Mus musculus: one gene and its partner. The protein of the gene in region 1 binds, or shares a complex with, the protein of each later gene. Links are inferred from orthologs where the notes say so. Each region holds a gene or a part of one and is shown in the gene's direction. Other genes may lie near its edges. The genes, in order: Capn2 and Capns1.

What was found.
Region 2: the proteins of Capn2 (region 1) and Capns1 are in contact, whole or in part, in a crystal structure (PDB 1KFU), measured with the Homo sapiens proteins. The link is inferred for Mus musculus from reciprocal best matches to the Homo sapiens genes CAPN2 and CAPNS1. Residues at the interface, in NP_001739.3 of Homo sapiens: Ala2, Gly3, Ile4, Ala5, Lys7, Leu8, Ala9, Arg12, Glu13, Glu16, Phe60, Arg366, Arg416, Arg417, Arg418, Arg420, Asp494, Ile516, Phe551, Glu575, Lys578, Val581, Asp582, Asp585, Gly588, Ser589, Gly590, Gln641, Leu642, Gln644; in NP_001003962.1 of Homo sapiens: Thr85, His86, Ser88, Asp111, Asp112, Met113, Glu114, Ser116, Thr118, Asp142, Arg145, Ser146, Ala149, Val150, Met151, Asp152, Ser153, Asp154, Thr155, Thr156, Gly157, Gly160, Phe161, Glu163, Asn206, His208, Leu209, Met212, Ile213, Arg215.

What each region holds. Positions count from the first base shown.
Region 1 is NC_000067.6:182,511,344-182,522,833, reverse strand, and holds the start of Capn2 (calpain-2 catalytic subunit), read left to right. Parts: upstream 1-5,223; 5' UTR 5,224-5,479; coding exon 5,480-5,716; intron 5,717-10,557; coding exon 10,558-10,627; intron 10,628-11,490. UniProt on the Homo sapiens protein: Calcium-regulated non-lysosomal thiol-protease which catalyzes limited proteolysis of substrates involved in cytoskeletal remodeling and signal transduction. Proteolytically cleaves MYOC at 'Arg-226'.
Region 2 is NC_000073.6:30,187,703-30,199,079, reverse strand, and holds the start of Capns1 (calpain small subunit 1), read left to right. Parts: upstream 1-3,926; 5' UTR 3,927-4,074; intron 4,075-4,978; 5' UTR 4,979-4,993; coding exon 4,994-5,202; intron 5,203-5,331; exon of another isoform or gene 5,332-5,833; intron 5,834-5,879; exon of another isoform or gene 5,880-5,992; coding exon of another isoform or gene 5,993-6,036; intron 6,037-6,179; coding exon 6,180-6,213; intron 6,214-6,487; coding exon 6,488-6,577; intron 6,578-6,702; coding exon 6,703-6,760; intron 6,761-6,853; coding exon 6,854-6,918; intron 6,919-8,352; coding exon 8,353-8,421; intron 8,422-8,522; coding exon 8,523-8,601; intron 8,602-8,911; coding exon 8,912-9,028; intron 9,029-11,350; coding exon 11,351-11,377. UniProt on the Homo sapiens protein: Regulatory subunit of the calcium-regulated non-lysosomal thiol-protease which catalyzes limited proteolysis of substrates involved in cytoskeletal remodeling and signal transduction. Essential for embryonic development.

The sequences.
Region 1 (11,490 bases):
CGGGGCTCTCACACAGAGGTGACATTGCTATGACTGCTGGCAGTGGTGGTAATGATGATGGTGGCAATGGTGGCAACACCTAAGCATTTCACAGATATCCTGAGCTGACACTTGTAACAACTCTGACTATGCAAAGTAGACAGTGGGTCTCCACTTGAGCAGACAAGTTTCCTTCTCTGTTGCTCTTATAGAATACCAACTGAGTAAAACTTGCGGAAGAAAAAGGCATATTTCACCCTCCAGGTTCATTGTCTTAGTTAGGGTTTCATTGCTGTGAAGAGACACCAGAATATTGGCAGCCCTTATAAAGGAAAACATTTAATTATGGCTAGTTTTCAGTTTCAAAAGTTTAGATCAACATGGTGCTAGAGAAGCAGCTGAGAGGTCTACATCTTGATTCACAGCCAGCAAAGAGAGACTGAGCCATCCTAGCTGTAGCTTGAACATAGGGGACCTCAAAGCCCACCTCCACAATGACACACTTCCTCCAACAAGGCCACAACTCCTAATAGTGCCACACCCTAATGACCAAGCATGACACATAGACACATGAGTCTATGGAAGCCATACCTATTCAAATCACCACATCCATCATGGAGGGAAGTCAGGGCAGGATCTCAAGGCAGGAACCTAGAGGCAACCACTGAATTAGAGCCCCAAGGAGGCACTGAGCACTGGCTGTCTTCTAGGCTTACATTTAGTGACCTTATTTATATAACCCTAGGCCCACCTGTCTAGGGGTGGGCACTCACTACAGAGAGATAGGTCCTCCTCTGTCAATTAGTCATCAAGGAAATACACCCCCAGACATACCCAGGAGCAAATCTGAAGGAGGCAATTCCTCAAATGAGGCCCCCAACCCACCCCCAGTTATCTCTAGTTGGTGTCAAGTTGGCAAAAATGACCAGGTATAGGAAGGAGATAAGATAGGGGTGGAGGGGCTGGCGTTTTGAAAATGGCAAGGGATCCTACAAGTGAAGATGGAATTCATCCTTAGCAAATCTGCCATTGTGAGACACTCCTGTGAAGGTCCCTCTCAGAGAGGGAATTTGGTGCCTAAGGGGCGCCCTCATCTGTGGCCCTGCGTGCAGGCTGGTGACACAGGCAAAGACTCAGAAAGCAGCTGGGTGTCTGGAACTTGATTCAAACGGTTTCCTCTCCTCTTCCAGCCCCAGGCCTTTCACATCTGCAACATTAAGGAGAACCTGTCTGATCTCCCTTCGGCTCTCGGATACCCTCCTGAGCCCTCTCTGCTTCATGGCACACACTGCAGTCTTGAGAGAAGAATAAATCCTAATAAATACAATCTCTCCAGAGGAAAGGAAGTCATACTATGTGCTACTCAGCCTTCCACGGCTGTGAAACGAGCGCCTGAGAGAATAGGTGAAAGGCAGGAATGACTTGGGTGGGCTCAGGCTTCCAGAGAGATCAGTCTGTGCTCAGCTGGTCCCACTGGTTTAGGGCTGAGGTGAGGCAGGAACCCGCAGAGAAGAAAGGGGTTCCCTTCATTGTAGACAGGAAGCAATCAGAGAAGAAGAACCTGAAGGCCGTATATGAACCCTTCAAAGGCCACTCTACAGTGACTTCTTCCTCTGACTAAGACCTGCGTGCTAAAGTTTCTACCATTTCTCAAAATAGAGCCACCAGCTGGGAACCAAGCATTCACTATCTGAGCCTGGGGTGGGGACATTAATGCTCAAACAAACTTGTCACACAAAACCAGGTCCTTTGTTTCTGTCTCCTGTACATTGATACAGGAGACGGAACTCAGGCTTCCAGAGAGGTCAGTCTGTGCTCAGCTGGTCCCACTGGTGCACACTTAGATAACTGATCTACCAGTGAACGACAGCTCCAAGTGGATTTCAGTAACACTGTGGAATTCCTCTAGTCTGTGATTTGCTTTGAAGTCACACCACAGACCTGAAACAAGGAGAAGAGGAAAGCATAGTTGTGCCTCGTACTCCACCTGCCTTGTCCTTTGCTGTCTGAAGCCAGAAAGGGAGGCCCTGCTGTGGTGTAAGGTTTCAGAGTAAGGCTTAGTCCAGTCCACCACACGCCAGCTACTGCCACAGTCCTCCTAAAACAGGGAGCGAGGGTTTCCTGCAGCCAGCTGTGAAGTTTGTGAGTGCAACCAAAAACTGCATCTCTCTCTCTCTCTCTCTCTCTCTCTCTCTCTCTCTCTCTCTCTCTCTCTCTCTCTCTCTCTCTGTCTCTCTCTCTCTCTCTCTCATATTCCAGATATGCCAGCTGTTTCTGATTCACAAATACCCTTCTGGGCGGGATGACTCATTTGGAAAGAGGGGATCTGTGTATGTGGCTATGGTTCCCTGACAGGGGTCATGTGGCCAGAGAAAGAAAAGACCTGGCCAACTCCCCTGAGAAAATATGGTGAGGGAAACTTCGAGAAGCATAAAGAACAGGGTTGACTCAGGTTACAAACTGGTCCTTGTCCAGAGAGTGAGGTCAGCCATTCCTCTGTGTGTCTGCAGATTTGTTGCAGTAACACTAGACTCCGTCTGGGGCCTTTGGGGAGCAGAGCTCTATGCTCACAGTTGGCTTGGTCGGCTGCCCTGCCTGAATGCACCGTGAAGGGTGTCGCTAAACCGGAAGAGGAAGCCCTGGGTGAGAAGGGATGTTCTTCTGCCTCCGCCTTGCAAAGAAAGCTTCGGTCTTGCAAGTTTCTGACTCGTTGGCAGTGATGGGCGTAGCCTGCCCAGGCTTTTGTAGCTAGAAGGATTGGGGAGGGGGGCCTGGTCTCCAGCTGCCAGGGAGGAGGAACCAAACTTCCTGCTATATCAAGTTTGGGACAAACTTTTTTCCAAGAGCCCTGAGCCGGGCAGAAATCAGGGTGGGGCCAATGGAAATAAGATAGTGGGAAAATTAAAAGTTTCCAGGAAAGGGCTGTGAAGCGTCTGAAGCCATTGCACAGGAAACCCCTGAACTACCAAGAACAACTGTGGTAGTCTTCAATTCCTTCAGTCCCACAAGACAAGACAGAGCCTGGTGACATGCAGTGTGCCTATTAGGCTAAGTGCTGGGAGTTGAAACCTAAAGACAGAGAATATCAAATAGAGTCAAACTGAGGTAGGGAGACATTGCCTTTCCAACCTGTGATCCTGGGCAGGATGGCCCCCTCTCAGGACTCTGCAAGCACCTCAGGTTCAAACAGAAAAATAAGGGAGAGGAGGCTCCGTTTTTTTTTTCTGTGGCAGAGGAGGGACAAGCAGAGTCAGGGAGAATCTGGAAGAGAAACACTGGGAAATGACGAGCCAAGTAGAGGAATGTTCTGGCTATCGTTGGCCCCTTCCCAGAAGCTGGTGACAGTGGGCTGGAAGCCCTCTGTTTCATTTGTGTGTGGGCCATCCTGGGGGAAGCAGATCTGGGGAACCATTAAGGAAAGAAAGAATCCCAAGTGAAGTTTGAGCAAGTGAAGCAGTGAGTCAGCCTTGGGCAACAGTAGACACCCGGTTAAAGACAAGAATACAGAAACGAGGCTAAATAGGAATGAATCTTTCTTAAAGCTAAAATTATGGCTTCATATTGATACAAATGAACACATTTTAAAAGATTTTATTTGACAAATACAGATGGAGTAACCAGACACCTCATGTTTTGTTTGTTTGTACTTTTGTTTTTTTAGACAGGGTCTTGTTGTATAGCCCTAGCTAGCCTGGAACACTCCGTGCAGACCAGGCTGGCCTGGAATTCATGGAGATCTGCCCCCATCCCTGCCTCCCCTTAGCATGTATGTATCCAGCTTACTGCTGGGTAGAACCTTCTGGGCGCGGCCCGTCAGGCACTTCATGTTAAGTGTTGGGATTTAAAGACATGGGCTACCATGCTCGACAGCCAGCATTTGTTTGCAGCATGGTGGTTTCTAAGCTTCATGGCTCTTTTCCGGAAGCTGTTCATTTTTTCCCACCATCTGATTTCCTTTGGCCCCACCCTGATTTTTTCTGGGCTCAGGATTCAAAAGGGAAGTGGGGGAAGATCCCAGACACCTGCCATGCCCAGGAGAGAATAGTGAGGTAGCAGTATCAACAGACAAGCCCTGGCTTTGCCACAGGGAGACAGACACTTTGATTCTTCCAGGAACAGTCATTTGCATATCACTGATATTTCAAGTTGCTACAATTTCCTGCAACTGACAGAGTTACAAACTATCTCAGAAACCATCAATGCTGAACCAAGATGAGGTTCAAACCAGGGTTTCTCAGCCTGGCACAGAGATCTTTCAGACTGCACTTTTCTTCCTGTTCTCTCTGTAGAGGGATGCCCTCCGCCCGACCATCCTTTAGTAGCACCTGGCTTCCACCCAGTAGAGGCCAGGAGCCTCCTTTGTCCCAGTTGTGACAATATGAGGAAAGTCTGCAGTTAGGGTCAAAAACCTTTAGGGTCACATTGGTGCGTGCGGGTTGCTTCCAGTTGAGAACCCGTGCTTTAAACCATTCATAGCACAAGCCCGCCCAGTTCTGTGTGTGTGAGTGGCAGCGAAAACTTTCATTGGACAGAGCGGTGGTACAGGCCACCAACAGGGGCTCTGTTCTAAATGGTGTCCCAGCAGCAACTCAATAAATCATCCCAGGTAAATCTGAGTTTTAGATAAGCATCACATTATTATTCTAACACAGGTTTGCCTCGGGTGATATTTGAGGGCTACGTATGCTAAAACCACACAATCCCCCAGCCCCTTTTCTTGAAATTTAGATTTAACAAGCATGGATTGTTTTGTTTTGTTTTTTTGTTTTTTTGTTTTTTGTTTTTGTCAAATTGTACAGCCCTACTTATGCACAAATAAGTAACTGCAGAGGCCCTGGGACCCTAAAATTCCTGTCTTGCTTTAATTTGTAGGGGTTACATCTTTGAACTTCTTTGGAGCTCAGTTTCTCATCTGTAAGATGGACACACCAGTAGCCATTTCTCACAAATTTGGGGGTGGTAGGTAACATGTGTGCCCAGAGCCTGCAGAGCTCTCTTTCGATCCTGAGCCCAATGAGTGGCAACTGGCTTAGTCGCCGCGCTCCCTCCCTCATCCGCTCCTGACTCATCCGATGTTTTCTGGACAGTCATTGCTGAGTTTCGCCCAGCCTTACTCCCCAATGGCTGGGGTTTGACAACTTCGCTCCCCAACTTGCGATTGTCGTCCCCCCAACACCCCCCGCTCGCCCTCCCCACCGGGCCGCGCCATCCCGAGAGCCGTCCGAAGGTGGCAGCATCGGCCCCGTAGTCCTCACGGTCGGGCTGGCACTGTGCAGGTCGCCGGCGAGCCGCGTCCGGAGCCCGGCGCCGAGCAGGCCTGGGGAGGCGGAGGCCACACCCCGCGCACGGCCCAGGCGCTTCCCGCCGGTGAATCATCCCCGCAGCAGCGGCTCCCGCAGTCCGCTGCAGCGCCCCGGGCCCGGCCGCGCCCCAGCCGAGTGCCGTGCCCCGCCTCTCCGCGACCCCTTTCTCCGTGCAGTGCGCCAACCGGATCGCTACCATGGCGGGCATCGCGATAAAGCTGGCCAAGGACCGCGAAGCGGCCGAGGGGCTGGGGTCGCATGAGAGAGCCATCAAGTACCTCAACCAGGACTACGAGACGCTGCGGAACGAGTGCCTGGAGGCCGGGGCGCTCTTCCAGGATCCTTCCTTCCCCGCCCTGCCGTCATCCTTGGGCTATAAGGAGTTGGGGCCCTACTCCAGCAAAACTCGGGGCATCGAATGGAAGCGGCCCACGGTAGGAAGCGCGAGGGGAACAGGCAGGGCCGGCAGGGCCTGGAAGGGCACTCGGGGTTCCGGGAGGCTGCAAGTCCCTGGCTCCCCGGCTCGGTAGTCCCTGCTTAGTAGTGCTCCGCGATTGCTGCTAAGGGGACTCCCTATGCAGACTGAGGCCCAGCCAGTGGACCTGCCCCAAGCTGCGCGCAGAGCGCTTCGCAGGACAGGACCCCAAATCCCATTAGTGGACACGCCCTGGAGGCTGCCTTCGGCTTCACAAAGCCGCAGGGACACAGGGCCGCTGGGGTGAAACTTTTACTGGACTCTAGTGGTGATCTGAGTGAGGGTGGAGACACTGCTCGGCAGTAGGGGTGGGGGTGGGGATATCAGAGTAGGATAGAAGACTCGGGACTGCTGGGTGGGTGGGGGCAAGGGGTGGGCACAGCCTGGCTCTGGCTGACAAAGGTGGTCACAAGTACATGTGGCACTTGTAAATGCAAGTACATGTATTTATCCAGCGTGGGTTTTGTCTGGCTCTCAAAGTGCAGTTAGAGGACTCTTTAACTTAAAGAACTGAAGGGTAGCTTAAAGAATCGATGGGCTCCAATGATTCTGTTACTCATTATTTTGCTGACCTAGAGTCCTCACCCGGAAACCTCTGCTCAACTCCTAGATACTCCTGTCCTAACCCTCAGAGTCTCTGCCCTTAAGCCCTTCCCGTTCCCTTGTGGTTTCAATCGCCAGTGGATGCCCATGGGACCCTCACTTGACTTTTCCCAGGAACTGAGAGGAAGTCTAAACTTCTAGATTCCTGTTAGGACAATGGACATTCATACCCTGCTTCTATCCTCTTGGTTCCCCCAGGCTGCTTTTGTTACTGAGTCTAGTCTGAAAGTACCAGAGACTAGCGGGGGTATAGCTCAGTTGGTAGTCTTTACTTAGCATGCATGAAGCCCTGGGTTCTATCCCAAGCACCATATAAAATCAGGTGCATGCTAATATATGCCTGCCATTCCAGGACTCAGGAGGTGGAGATGGGAGGATGAGAGATTCAAAGCCTGGGGCCACAAAGATGGCTCATTGAGTAAGGGCTTTGGTGGTCATTTCTAATGACCTTAGTTCTGTTGCAGAACCCACCTGGAAAAAGAGAACCAACTCCCCCAAAATTTTTCTCTGACCTTCATATGCACACTGTGGCGCACACGTGCAGAATCTCACAGGCACGAATGTGCACACACACAAAATAAATACTAATAACAACAGAAGAAGATGGAGGCTGGCCTTGGCTATACAGTGAGTTCATTTGAGGCCAGCTTGGACCACATGAGAACTTGACTCAAATTTGAAGATAAGTGGCAAGGAAGACTAGAGAAGTCTCTGTGGAACAGGATTCAGAGCACCTGGGTACCCAGGGTGAATCACTGGCTCTCCCTTCCTCACCTCAGCCGGGCATGGTGGTACACACCCTTGATTGAAGCCCTCAAGACACTTTGTAGCTTTGGCTGTTTAGTAAGTTCTAGGCTAGCCTGAGCTACACAGTAAGACTGTGTCTCAACATTAAATGAAGATAAAAATAAGACCAATGAGGCCACTCTGTTTTCTCTCTTGTCTACCACACTTGGTGCAGCTGCTGCGGCTGCTTCGGTTTCCTGGAGACACCCCGCTCTTCTCTCTTACCCTCCTCATCTCCCAGGCATGCTCTTGCCCCAAGTCTGGCTCATTTACATTCTTTCAAAGTCTCCTCCTTCGAGAGTTGTTCCTCACCCTGCTGCTCTCTGCCCTGTGCACATTCCTGCCCTGGGGTTGTCACCATGAACACACGCAGTCACATGTTTTCTCGCTGAGCTGTTCTGTGTTATTTGCCATGTGCTCTCAGTGTCTTGCTGGAGTAGCATCCCTTCTCAATATCCATTCATTCATTCATTCATTCACTCATTCACTCATTCACCAGCATTTAGGGAGTGCTTACTCTAGCCCAGGCATTGAGACATCCACAACAAACCACTGACTGTTTAAAGAATGAATGAATGAATGAATGAATGAACGAACAGTCATTGTGAGCCTCAGATGACATCCTGGCCGGGGAGACTATTCACATACCAGAGAACACATTCCTCACATTTGCATACTGTTTTACGACTTACTTTTTATCATTTCTGTGGTTAGGAGACACCCTAATCAGAAGCAACTGAAGGGAGAAAGAATTTACTTGGCTTAAAATTCCAGGTTACAGCACATCATTGAAGGGAAGTTAAAGCAGAAACTCAAGGCTGAGGCATGCTTACAACCCACACACATCTGAGTCCACCAACGTTCCATTCAATCAATGAGCAATTATTGAACACTTATTATATTCCAGGCACCGTATACTTAGTTTCTGTCTCTGAAGCCCAGAGAGGGCAGAAGTGTCCTTCAACAGGTGATAGTAAAGCCTTTGGGCCTCCTGAGTAGAAAGACAGAGTTCCAGAGCCACCTCAGGGACACTGCCTAGGGCAGGCTACACACATCATCGGACAGTTGGAAAAAACAAAGCTTGGGAGTGTCAACCTTGCTCAGAACAAATCAAGTCTGCATTCATGGTTGGGCTAGCTGTCCTGACCTGTCCTGTCATACCCTGGTGGGGCCAGGCAACAGGAATAACAACAACAATAATAAAATAATAATAATAATAATAATAATAATACTAATAAAGTGGCTACTGGAGTCACTAGCTGGTTTTTGGAGACTGAAATAGAGCAAAGTCATTGAATGGGAGAAGGGAAGGGACCAGACAGGCTGCAGACCCTGGAGGAGGAGAAATGGAAGGGAACTAGGTGTTTCACTTATTTAAAAAGGATGTGTACAGGAAAAGAAGAGTGGAGGAGAAGGAGAAAGAGGGGGAGGGGAGAGAGAGAGAAAAAAGAGAGAGAGAGAGAAAGAGAGAGAACAAACACTTGTGGCTTGATTTAAGAGTTGTTCAGCTGTGAATGACTTGAGTTTGCTAGAGGTTGAGTCATAAGAGAGGAAGGGGTTAAAGGTGACCCCCTGAGAAAGGCTGAAGCAATCCAGAGAAAGCAAGGCAGGCAAGGGAGCTGATTAGCCAGGTTGGTGGCTTGGGGGCTGACAACTCTTCCGGAGAGAAGAAGAGTTCTTGTCCTAACACTGGCAAGAGAACTCTCCACTGCAAAGAGATGAGATAGACCATGACCAAGGCTGAAGGCAGTGGCCATGCTAGGCCACAGTGACGAGTGGCCCAGCATCGTCCGAGGATGGCACCTCAGGTCCTCTCAGCTGTCATGATAGAATACTTGTCAAGGCCATTCACTTGACTCTGAGAACAGTCCTGTGTGGGTGGTACATTTGTCTTCTTCAAACCCATTGTGCAGATGCAGATGAACAAGCTTCAGGATGTCGTGTAACCCACCAGCATCCTAGACCTTATGCAGTAAGTGGCAGGGCTGAGATTCTCACTGCCTTATCAGAATCCAAGGCTCAAGCCCTCCCTCCTTTCTTGTATGGCTACATCATATTTAATTCCAGGCTCCACAGGCTGTGACTAGGGCTCAGTTTTCTAAAGTATATCCAGGTTGTGAAGTCTGAACTTGGACTTCTCTGGAGACCCTGAGGCAGTCTCTGAAGTATAATGGTAGCCCTCCTCCTGGGGTAAGAGCTTGGCCCCTGGATGATCGGTGTGACAGAGGCTCCTGGAGCTGAGACCAGTCTGCTCCATTCCCAGGGTTAAGTGCTTGCCTGGCAGACCTTAGGAAAAGTTGGCTTCCCTGCTCAGACAGAAGTGCTTTCTCATTGCCCCTGCATCCGTCAGGCAGACTGATGGGGAAGCAGAAAGTGAGCATGGAAGTGAGCAGGAAGTGAGCAGGAAGTGAGCAGGAAGTGAGCATGCTCTGTGAGCTGGCGTGCTGGAGGTTGCCAGGATAGACCCATCTCTCAAGGAAGAAGACTCCTGGTAGACAGAATAGTGCCAAGAGTCAAGCCACACTATGCAGATGCGAAACTCCTACAAACCAGCTTAGATTTGGGGCCTGACTTCCTTTGTGGCTTTTGGGTGGAGCTCTTCAGAATCTGGAAACACACCCAGGAGCCTGTGGGAGGGCCGAGATCTTCCATGTTGGCTGTAGGGAGCAACCTCCTCAGAGGCATAAATGCATTAGCACTTGACACCAATGAGTTCAAATCCCAGTTGTCTCTACCACTGGGGAACGGAGAAGCTTTAAGCAATCACTTTACCTCCTTAGGTGTTCTCCACATATAATAGGAGCTGATTTCATCTTTAGTCGCTAAAGTGCTACAAGAGATAAGGCTCCATGCGGTGTTTGCATAGCAGGTACAGAATGCACGGATTCTCCAAGTGCTGAGAGAAGGCAGAAGGGCTGGATTCAACCCGTCCCCAAGAAACACGTGTATTAGAAAGATGGAGGAGGACCCGTGAGTGTCACCAGACTTAGGTTCTCAAAAACTCTAGGACAGAACTCAAAGGGAAGGGTGGGGATAAATGAGGGAGAGGGGCTTTATCCTAGAAGGAGAGGGAAAAGATATCGAAATGTGAACTCATTTGGAAAATGTAGGCAAAATGAATGTCATGCAAACCCAACCACTTGCATGCATGCCCGGAAGAGAAGCTGCCAAAATGGTGGGCAGGGGCCACTTAGTGTGGAAGGTCCCAACACCTGGCAGAGGATGCTGATGCATTCCCTGGCCCTGGTAAACAGTGTAATGGAGCAGGGTCATAGGACTTCCTCCTAGCATGGAGGTCTGACTATGAAACGTTCCTCAGAGCTGAGCAGCATGAGGAGGGGCTTGAAGCAACCACTGGGAACCGAGGCTCCTGGCCACCGTGCTGACCATGCTCTGTGTGTTTGTTTCCAGGAGATCTGCGCTGACCCCCAGTTCATTATTGGAGGAGCCACCCGCACAGACATCTGCCAAGGAGCCCTGGGTAAGTAGTGGGGTCTGGAGCAAGCTGTGCTGTGTCAACTGCAAGTTCTGTGGCTTCTCTCCCCCAGCTGTGTGGTGACTTCCATTTTCAGAAGCTCCCTGGATTTCTTGTCTCCTGGGGCTGCCCCCTCGCCGGTCACAATGCTAAAACGGAAGGTCTGTGAGGTCCAAGACAGGTCCGAGAGGAGGCAGTGACTCAGTGTGAAGGAAGGGGAATCCTTTCACTGCTGAGAGGAAGTGGGAAGCACCAGGGCCAGCTCTGCCATGCCTGCTGCTCCCCGCAGGAGCTCACCAGGGAAAGCAGTGTGAATGTGAACAATCGGAATGATTCAAACTAACCCAAGCATCGGTCAGGATTGGGAGGGCCCTGTCTGAGAATTAGGGCTCTAGGCTCTCCAGCTTCTGAACGCCCCACCCCACCCCAGGCATCTGGTGAGTCTCAGCAATGATAATCCACCTTCACTTTTTCTTCTATGTAATAAACATGACCCTTTAATTATTCAGGGCAGATTACTTGCTCTGATAAACCAGAAGCCTGCTATCTGCCTCAGTGGGCTTCCCAGACAAGTCCACTATAAAAAAACTGGCTCTCTAGAATTCACCACCTTCCTATGCCCACTTCCTAGGAGTTCCGATCTCATACTGATGGCAGCCACCATTTAATAAGCCAGTCACTAAATCATGCTTGCCCACACTCTAAGATACCCCCGATCGCTCTCATTTTACAGATGAGCATTGCCATACCAGAGAGAACAGGCCTGGTGTTCAGACACATTTGTCTGACCCCAGCACTAGTGCTTTAAGTGCCAAGATGGCCTCCCTAGAAAGAGGCCTGCAGAAGTACCACCCTGTGGGGGATGTGCT
Region 2 (11,377 bases), on another chromosome or scaffold:
ATAAACCCTAAAAACAGAACTCAGAATGATAGCCAATTCAACACAATAGAATTCTACCTCTTTCTTCCACAGCAGCCAAAGTTTAAGCACTTGCGATGATGCCAAGCCACCAAGTACTCAGCTTCTCCCTATGGCCCTGCTACTCCTAAGGCAGCAGTTTGGCTCCACAACACCTGTGTCTAGCCAGTAGGGGGAGTAAGAGGGCAGAGACTCTGGCAAGCTAAGAGAGACGAAGTCAGCCTTGCAGTCTAGTTTATTGTGCGTGAAGGATTGTGAGAGTCATTGGAAACCTTCCAGGAGAAAAGTGGATGAGGAGCAACAGGTGAGCAAGGGGTGGTGAAGACAGCAGCTCTTTCCGAGTTAATATTACATGCAAAAACCGCGCAGAATAAAAAATTTGCATTTGGAAGAGACCAGCCAGATGACTCAGTGGTGCCAGGCTGACAAATCGAGTTTAATCTCCAGATCTCAAAGGGAGGTGGGGGAGACCAGGCTGGCCTCCAGCTCATACACATATCTCTCTGTCTCCCAAGCGTTGGGATTAAAGAACCAGGTGGAGAGATCTCCTCGTGTAGAACACTCCTTTAAGCCCAGCAGCCGGGAGGGAGACAGAGGCCAGAGAATCTTTGAATTCCAATCCCGCCTGGTCTGTATAGCAAGTTCCCTGCCAGGCAAGGCTACACAATGAGACTTTGTTTCATAAAAAAAAAAAAAAAAAAGAAAGAAAGAAAACGAAGTGGTGTGTGATGGAGTTAATTAGAAATCTGAGAAGACCCCTCTCCCTCACTGCCAGGAAGCTCTAAAAGAGAGGTCTTGGAATGGAGTTCCGTGTCCCGACACAGCTTGCTGGTAGAGCCTCAAGCTCGCAGAGATCAGCCTGCCTCTGCCTCCTGGGACTAAAGGAGTGCGGCGCGATGCCTAGCCACCTTGTACTGACTTAGAGTAGCAGGGAGGTGAAAGGACAGGTCAGTAAAGACCTTGTGGCTTGAGTGAAAAACTTTTTTTTTTTAAGTGCTAGGCCTTCATGCACACTGCCTTGTGCTGTACCACGGAGCGGCCCTCCCTGGGGAGGGAGTTCTGACTCTTCCGGAATGAGGTGTACCAGGCACAGATGGGATCTGGCCTGAGCCAGGCTTCCTTTGTTTGCAGGTTATAGGGCCAGAGACTAGGCAGGAAGCGTTGGTGACAGCTAGAGGCAGGGAGGAATTAGAGGTGGGGTGAAGGTGAGGTGAAGGGGTGGGAGATGGGGGTGAGCAGGGAGGGAGGTAGCATTGAGAGTGCAGGAGGAGCCAGTTAGACTTGCTGACAGGGTGGAACAGTGGGGCATTATGGAGGCAGACAGTTGGGACCAGTGAAGTGTGATTGTAATGTAATGAGAGCATCAAGGTGGCTAAACAGGATTGCCATGAGTTCAACGCCAGCCTCAGGCACCCAGAAAGACCTTGCTTGTCTCAAAGGCAAGCAAGCAAGCAAACAAGCAAACAAGTAAACAGCAGCAAGTAGCTGGTGAGGAGGCACAGTGGTTAGAGCACTTGCTGCTCCAGCAGAGGATCCATGTTTGAATCTCAGAACACACAAGGCAGACACAGACATACAAGAAGCAAAAGCAAGACAGAGAAGCCATGAGTCCTGAGCCTTGTCCAGGTTGAAGATAGGGATTTGGGGGCTGGTGGCCTGGAGATGATATGTAAGACACGTGGGATCAGACACACTCCTGTAACCCCAAGAACTTTTAGGGTGGTTGCAGGAAGATCAGTTCAAAGCCATTCTCTGTTAAACAGTGAGATTGAGGCTAGCCTGAGCTATATGATACCACCTCACAAAATATACACACACAGGGGACAAAAATCACTGAAAAATACTTCAGGGAGGTACCAGATGGCAGGCACAAGTTGAATGGACAGAGGGACGATACCTAGAGCTCACAGATGCCGGCAACTGGGACTCAGGGAGACAGAATTAGAGGACAATATGACCACACTGGGTAGTGTGTATGGTGAAAAATGGGTTTTATTTTATTTTTGTTTGTACGTGTGTTTTGCTTGCATGCATGACTTTGTACATTTGTGCCAGCGCCTTCAGAGCCAGAAGAGGGAGCCTAGATCTGGACTTGAGACACTTGGGAGCTGCTTGATGTGGGTGCTCAGCACTGAACCCGGGTCCTCTGGAGGAACAGTCAAGACTCTTGACCCCTGAGCCATCCCCAAGCAAAACTCCCATGAACCTTCTTTTGTTTGTTTGAGACAGGGTCTCACCATGTAGCCCAGTCTGTCCTCTGGAACTCACTGTGTAGACCAGGCTGGCCTCAGAGTTCTCCCTGCCTCTGCCCCCTGAGTGCTGGGATCAAAGACAAGTGCCACCACGATAGGCTCCCTTAAGTATTTTTAAATCGTTGTTTTGAGATAAGACCCTGTGGTGTAGCTCGCCTGCCTGAGTCTTCTGAGGCCTGGGCATGTGTCATCATGTTTACTGTTGGTCTGAGGGCATGAAGCTGGCAGCCTCTTCAAGCCTTGGGTGGATGTGAGGACAAAGAGGTCTTCCCAAATGAGAGATGTCTGAGCTCTGGTCCAAAGTGGAGGACACAGACAGTCAAGTCCAAACACAGGAGTATTTGTAGGCAGAGGACAGGGCTTATGCCAGCGAGTTGAGCCTGAGGTCAGACTGCTCAGTGTGGCAGGGAGGGGTGTGGCAGAGAGGGAATCCACATTAGTCATCACCAAATGATTTATCCGCTAAGGCTTAGGCCTGGGTCGCCACCCTCTGTGCTCCCGCCTTTTAGAGTTTCCGGTTTCGACAGGTTAAATCTTGCTTCACACACACACACACACACACACACACACACACACACACACACACACACACAGGTTTGAGCAATGATTACCTGGCCTGGTCCCAGCAAGCCCTTAGGTGGCGTTAGTGCAATTACGGTCTTGTCTGCTGAGATCTTATTTGACTGATTATCATATTAAGTTATCGGAGATTCTTTGAACAGGTAAAGCAGACTGGTTGTTTAACCTCAGTTTACTTATACATAGAATGGGGACAATAACAGACCTATCCCACAGGCCTGCTTCGAGGACACACAACCTAGTGAGTGGAGAGTATTTAGGGACCGGCAGGTATTTGTCGATGTTGTTTAAGGATGAGCAAGAGTAAACGAGCTAAGGGAACCAGGTGAGCTCCCAGCTGAGGGAACAACATGGCGACATAGGGACTAACAGAAGAGCTGCCATTTACTATGTATTTATCACTTAATTCTGATAGGGGCTTACCCTAGTGTCCTCTAGGGTCTCATGTAGCCCAAGCCGGTCACAAACTTGTTATGTACTGAGAATGGCTGCCTGCCCTCACCTCCCAGTGCTGGTTTTACAGGTGTGTGTCATCACGCCTGGCTATGTTCCCGCCTTACACATGAGGAGGTCATTACTCAGAGACACCAGGTCACTGTTTTAGGGATGAGCAATAAAGACTCAAACCGAGGTTTATATAGTTCCTAGGGAGTGGCCAGACAGCCAGACTAGAAGCCCAACAGCGACCTGGGTGAGAGGCACAAACTGATGGTAAACTTAAGATGTAGATTCCTAGCATTCGGGAAACAGAAGCAGGAGGATTGTTTCAAGTTCGAGGTTAGCTAGGGCTTTAGGTCATCATTTAGAGGATGTTTAACAAACCTCTGTCTCAAAGTGCACAATGAATGAATGAATGAATGACAACTGAAGTCCTTTTTTGCAACTATATACTGCAACGGTGACCGGGTACCCTGTATCTAGTTCCTGGAGGCTCCAGTACCTGGGCGTTAGAATAATTTATTCGTACTCAAAGCTATTTAATCTGGACAGCGTTGAATTTCCAGCAGTGTGTGTATGGGGACGGATGAGCTAAGCAGAGACTTGCAACCATAACCCTCCCGCGCAGGCGCAGTCTGCAATGGAGGCTCTAGGACCGCGCAGACGACGGCTGGGTGGCGGCAGGGTCTAACCCGGAGTAGCTGCCTGAGTCACCGGCCCCGCCCTCCCGAACCGGACACAGCGGAGGCCCTGCAGCAGGCGAGCAAGACCGCGGACCGCCGGATCCGTAAGTGAGACGGGACACTCCAGTCCAGCACCCCTGCACCCTGTAGATCCGGAATCCGTAGTCCTCAGATCTGGCGAGACCCTAAAGTCTTGGCCCTTGGGGGGTCCTAGGACCGGTGTTCTCAGATTCGAACCATCGGGCCTGTCAGCCCCTCCAGAACACTCCTTACCATCCCGGATCTGACGACCAAAAAATATAAGCCCAAAGATCAGAGAGATACCCGGAAATTATTTTGGGCGTCTAGAACCACAATCCGAGATCGTGGTTCCCATTTGCGGTGGGAAGAACTCCGTTATCCAGGATCCTCCGGGCGCACAGCCATAATTTTTGGCCGGAGCCCACAGATCCCGTAGTGACAGTGTAGTCCCTCTGTCGAGAGTATCTGAATGTCTTAATCCACATTAGGAACTTCCTGGTCAGCCCTGGGTCATCCCTACCCTGAGCTTAATTTTGGAAGGCCTGGATCTGAGACACGTTCGGTTTTACACACCTTAGGGTTTCTACACGAGAATCCCCTGTTTTCCCGCTGCCTCAAGACAGGGTAAAGCAGGCAGGCGCTGTAGCCGAGGCTGGCCTTGAACTGGTCCTCCAGCCTCAGCCTCCCAATTTCTGGGATTACAGTAGAGCGCTACCACGCACGCCCAGCTGTACCCCTGTCCTCATGCCTATATATATGCAGTCAAGCCTGGGCCAGGGTACTTTCTAGACCCTAGGAGGTTTCACATCTCCTATCACCTGTCCAGACCCCTAGCTAGAGGCTCTGTCCCCATCTCGAGGCCTTAGTTTCCTCCCCAATCTAGTTGCCGGAAATGCTTGCTTTTTTTTTTTTTTTTTTTTTTTTTTTTGCGGGAAGGGCTGGGCTCCTGGCAAGGCCACTACCCGACCCACCCCTTTTACTTTACAGGACTCAGCTGCGATCATGTTCTTGGTGAATTCGTTCTTGAAGGGCGGCGGTGGCGGTGGGGGAGGCGGGGGTCTGGGCGGGGGCCTGGGGAATGTGCTCGGAGGCCTGATCAGCGGAGCTGCTGGCGGCGGCGGCGGTGGCGGTGGAGGCATGGGACTGGGAGGAGGTGGCGGAGGCGGTGGAACTGCCATGCGCATCCTGGGCGGAGTCATTAGCGCCATCAGGTAAGGCGGGGCCTGAAGGGGCGGGGCGGGCCAAATAATAAAGACTCACTTAGAGTCCGACCTGAGAATTCTTAATTAGTCTGGGCTGATCCATACCGGAAAACTGGCCCTAAGGGGATTCTAGCGAGGCTGGTGTCACTTTTTAGTACCAGGATTAGTAAACCTGCTTCTGTGGGTCAACAAATAGGATGCAGTTTCTTGGGGATAGGGGCTCTTCTGTGTTTGGGGAAGGTGCAATTCTATAGGATTGTATCCAGCCTTCACTGGGGGCGCAGCCAGTGGATCTAAGGCTGTCCATGGCTTAAGATTTGAGCGAGGTGGAGCTTGCTGTTTTAGGAGAGATCAGAGTCCCCAAAGAAGAAATGGTCCAGAGAAGGTTGTGTGGGGTCTGGAGCTGATTGGTTTAGTGGGTAAAAATCCTTTGCTGGGGTTAGAACAGGTGGCTGGCACCTATATCGTTGGTGATCCAAGCACTGATCCCTGGGAGGAGTAGGGGCTGATGGGGGGCGGGAGAGGTAGACGTTAGGCAGTTAGATAATCTGCAAAAGGAGCGATGGAGTAAGACTCTGGACAACTGAACCCGAGGAAGATGAGGCCTAGGAAAGCTGGTGCAGACAGACCCCCTTGTGAAGTGAGTTCTTCAAGGGGCGGGCCCTGCTAAGTTTGTTAAGGTTTTCAGGATTTTGATTGGGGCTAAGATGCTTCTGACATTGTGATTGGTGGGTGTTCCTGGGCAAGGAAAGGATTCTTCCGTGGGGTGGGCCCTTGGGAGGTGGGAGAGGTTGGCCCGATGGAGGGAAAGGAGGGGTCAGACCATTCTCTTGATTGGACCAGGTCAGGACGATGAGGTAGACGAGGGGAGGAGGGAACCCCTTAAGGAAGAGGAGGGCTGGAGTTTCAGGGGTTGGCTGACCGTTCTGCCGCCCGTTGGAGGCTCTGCCCCCATGCGCTAACTCAGCCCCCTTGTCTCCCCTCAGCGAGGCTGCTGCGCAGTACAACCCGGAGCCTCCGGTAAGCAGACCTAGAGACCCTTCCTCCTCAGGCCTGTTGCCCGCCTCATCTTCCCCATTCCTATGAATAAGGCTCCCCCTCCTTCCTTAGGAAACCCCCTGCCGTTAATAATGTCATTTTTTTGAGGGCCCCTAAGCTAAACCCTGGGTCTCAGCCACGCCTACTTGCTACACCTAATTCAGGTTCCCTGGCCCTCAGACTGCCCAGCCCTCTCTGACTTTTCCCTGGGACACTTGTTTCTCCATCTCTGTTCTGAGATCGCCTCTCTCTGCAGCCTCCACGTAGTCATTACTCCAATATTGAGGCCAACGAGAGTGAAGAAGTCCGTCAGTTCAGGAAACTTTTTGTCCAGCTGGCTGGAGACGTAAGTATCCTGCCTGACCGCTTGACTCTGTCACTTGACTGTGACAACCCGGAAGTTCCCATCCCGGTTTATGGTCTCCAGACCCTTTCCATCTCCCTTGAACTGTACTTACCTTCTGCCGTCAGGACATGGAGGTCAGCGCCACAGAACTCATGAATATCCTCAACAAGGTCGTGACCCGACGTGAGTGACCAGGGTCAGAGTGTGGTGAAGGTTTAGAGGCATATGGGCTGGGATGGTCTCTGACCTCTGACCTTCAACCTGTTCCCCCCTCAGACCCGGATCTGAAAACTGATGGTTTTGGCATTGACACTTGTCGGAGCATGGTGGCCGTCATGGATGTATCCTTTTGGGGCCAGCCTGGAGAATGCCTTGGGTGAAGAGGGTCTTCTGGGAATATGTTGAGGACGGCCAAGGTGAAAGCCTTCATACTTGGAGGACACAGACTTACCTACGTGACCATAAATAATATCAGCTGCTACAGCTGGAACTTTACCTAGATTAGTGGATCCAACCTTTACAGATACCTTGCTAGATAAAGACGATGTAATAGGAAAGGAAACAGGCTCAGAGAGACACAGTGGTTTTGTCTCTGGCCAAACCGCCCAGAATTTACCTGACATGAATATCTGATCTTGAAAGCTAGTCTTGGGGCTACTTGAGGCTTGGATAGCAGAAACAGTCGTTTAGAGAATACATTGCAGGATAGGAATTTGGACTTGGGAGTTTTGGTTTGAGAATCTAAGCTTCGTTTATTTCTCTATTTACTTTTAAGCAATATTGATTGACTGACTGATTGATCAATTGATTGATTGATTTTTGAAACAGGATTTCTCTGCCTTGCCTGGCCTGGAATTTACTCTATAGACCTGGCTGGCCTCGAACTCAGAGATCTGCGCACCTCTGCCTCCCAAGTTGGGATTAAAGGAGTGTGCCACCACCATCCGATTACTAGTTATTTTATTGTACAGTATTTTTGGATTCTTGAGATGGGTCTCAAGAAGCCTAGGCTGGCCTTGAAGTCAGTGTGTAGCCAAAGCCAAACTCCTGATCTTCCTCTCAAGTGCTAGAGTTATAAGCATGTGCTACCATGCCCGCTTGGCTTATTTTACTTTTACTCACGTGCATGTGTGTGTGTCTGCATGTGCGTGCACGTGTTCTCAGAGGCCCGAGGACGTTGGACCCCCTGGAGATGGAATTCCAGGTGGTTGTGGGCTGCATGTTTTGAATTGTAGGAACCAAACCCAAGTCCTTTGCAAGAAGATTAAGCACTCCTGACTATCTAGCCTTCTAAGCTTATTTTATTTTTTTTAAAGATGTATTATTTATGATGTATACAGTGTTCTGCCTGCATGTATGCCTGTAGGTCAGTAGAGGCCACCAGATCTCATTATAGATGGTTATGAGCCACCATGTGGTTGCTGGGAATTGAACTTGGGACCTCTGGAAGAGAGGGGGCTCTTAACCCCTGAGCCATCTCTCCAGCCCTTATTTTATTTTTTAAAGTACGAATTAGGGTTAATCCCAGTACTTAGGAGGCAGAGGCAGGTGAATCTCTGAGTTGGAGACCAGCCTGGTCTATAGAGCAAGTTCCAGGAAAGCCAGAGCTGCATAGAGAAACTTTGTCGTGAAAAGACCAAAAGAAAAAAGAAAAGAAAAGAAAAGAAAAGAAAAGAAAAGAAAAGGGAGAATGGAAGAAAGAAAAGTTAGCATTTTGGCATTCACACACACACACATTGCATTTTGTCACTTGGTTCTTAACAACCTCTTGTTAGAGCGACACCACAGGCAAGCTGGGCTTTGAGGAGTTCAAATACCTCTGGAACAACATTAAAAAGTGGCAGGTAAGTGGTAGCCGCTGAAACTCCCAGGATCTGATCCCCCAAGCCATGGGGACCCCATGCTCCATGATGCTTGGTCCGACTGTTGTCTTTTCTATCCTTAGGCTATATACAAACGCTTTGATACTGACCGATCAGGGACTATCGGTAGCCATGAACTTCCAGGGGCCTTTGAGGCAGCAGGTGTGCTGGCAGGGGGTGATGATGGGCAGGGGATGGGGTGAGCAAAGTCACACCGTCACTGTACTGGAGATTGAGAAGTCCTGTGTGAAGCCGGGCATGGTGGCGCACGCCTTTAGTCTCAGCACTTGGGAGGCAGAGGCAGGCGGATTTCTGAGTTCGAGGCCAGCCTGGTCTACAAAGTGAGTGCCAGGACAGCCAGGGCTACAGAGAGAAACCCTGTCTCAAAAAAACAAAAAAAGAGAAGGCCTGTGTGCTGGGGCCCTGAGACCAAACCGTTTTTTGTTTGTTTTGTTTTGTTTTGTTTTCCCAGGATTCCACCTGAATGAGCATCTCTACAGCATGATCATCCGGCGCTACGCAGATGAGAGCGGGAACATGGATTTCGATAACTTCATCAGCTGCTTGGTCAGGCTAGATGCCATGTTCCGTGAGTGTCACTCTAGATCTCTGCGAGGGTGGGGATTTGCTAACCTTCATTGGCCAAGGGCTCCTCTAGGTCTAACCTTAATGTCAGCAATGCTGGGCTCACTAGGCAGGGACAGCTGAGACTTGTATGGCTGAGATTCTTTTTTTTTTTTTTTTTTTTTTTTTTTTAAAGATTTATTTATTACATGTGAGTACACTGTAGCTGTCTTCAGACACACCAGAAGAGGGCATCAGATCTCTTTACGGATGGTTGTGAGCCACCATGTGGTTGCTGGGATTTGAACTCTGGACCTTTGGAAGAGCAGTCGGGTGCTCTTACCCACTGAGCCATCTCACCAGCCCCTGGCTGAGATTCTTGTATGGCCATGTGGATACTGGGAATTGAACCCCAGGATCCTCTGCAAGAGCAGTAGGTGCTCTTAACCTCTGAGCCATCTCTCCAGCTCCATCTTGCCTGGTTTCTTTTTCTTTTTTTTTTTTTAAAGATTTATTTATTTATTATATGTAAGTACACTGTAGCTGTCTTCAGACACACCAGAAGAGGGAGTCAGATCTTGTTACGGATGGCTGTGAGCCACCATGTGGTTGCTGGGATTTTGAACTCAGGACTTTCATAAGAGCAGTCGGGTGCTCTTACCTGCTGAGCCATCTCACCAGCCCCTTGCCTGGTTTCTTGAGACACGTTTTCATGTAGTTCGGGTTGATTTGAGACTTGATTTGTAGCTGAGAGTGACCTTGAACTTTTGACTCTGAGGTGAGAGCTTTTATTAGGATTGATGTAAGACTACCTCCAAAATGGGAACTATTGTCCTCCTGCTAGGGTGGAACCCAACACTCTCCCGAGCCAAGCACTTGCTCCTAGCTGCTACTCAACCAGGAAGATGGAAAGTCAGAATTTGATTCTGTGACTGCCTGAGAACTTAATTGAGCAATGAGAAAAAACAGGAGTGATGGTCAGGGGTGTACTGTGCAGTGCTGTGGATATCAAGTTCAGGGGCAGCGCTCGGATAGTCGTGGGCGTTGTAGAGCCAAGATAGCAGTTTCTAGGCAAGAAAGGGGCAGAGTCAGCCATGGCTTACAAAGCTCCTTTGATCTGGCAGCCAAGGGAAGAGTGAAAACAGACGTTGGGTGTGGTGGTGCACATCTGTGACCCCAGCACTTAAAAAAGCTGAGGCCACAGGATGATCGGTTGTTCAAGGTCATCATTGACTACATCTCAGACCAAGATTAGTTCATTAGTTACTTAGTTAAAAGGGCTAGCATCTAGCTTAGTTGGGAGAGTGCTTGCCTCGCATACGTGAAGCCCTGGGTTTGTGACCAGGCACTCATTAACCTGAATACGACAGACCTGTAATCCAGCAAGCAGGAGATAGAAGCAGGAGGATAACAAGTTTAAGGAGAAAGGTCCTCTCACCTGTGGTAGCCAGGGCACCAGTAGCACCAAGGACACCATATGTGGCCACCTGAAGGTGGTGGTGACTCAGCCTTGGTACAGGAAGGAACAGATGTAGTGTGGGCAACGCTGGCTTGGTTTGGTTGTGGACAGAAGGCATGGATTCAAGTTCCAGGGCAGGAGTGCGGACCACACTAGACGCTAAGGCCAAGATTGGCAAGTTACCTCCTTTTAGGGGCCTGTTTTGGGTTACAGCTGGGAGGTTGTAGCATAGGTGTCAGGAAGGATGGGCCTGGGTTCCAGTCAGTTTTCTGTCCTGTCTGTCTGTCGTGTGATCTGCAACATATCACTTTGCCTGTTTATTTATTGAGATGTCAGGGATTGAACCCCATGCCTCAAGAATAATGGGTGTATACTCTTTTACTGTGTTATAATACCTGAATTCTGTGCCTCATTTAAAAATGCCACATGCTCACAGGATTAGACATTTTATTGATTTAACTTCCTCTTCGTCCTCCTCTTCCTCCTCCTCCTCCTAATATTATTAATAGAGTCTCATGTAGCCTGACTAGCCTTGAACTCCCACATGTACCTGAAGGTAATAGTGAACTCAAGATCCTCCTACCATAACTCACCTAGTGCTGGGATCACAAGTGTGTATCATCACCACGTGTCTTCGAAGTTTTGTGGAGCGAGCGCTAACTTCCATCAACAACATCAACATGCTATAGCCAGTCAGGGTGGCCGTGCTTTTGATCCCAGCACTCTGGAGGCAGAAGCAGGGAGCTCTCCATAAGTCTGAGGTCAACCAAAGGGTATTTAATGAGACCCTATCTAAAAACAAAGCAGAATAAAACAACAACATCAACAAGAGGGAAATAATTATATTATCGTTCTAGAAGCACCCAAGCCCTTCCTTTCTCCCCGCAGGCGCTTTCAAATCTCTTGACAAAAATG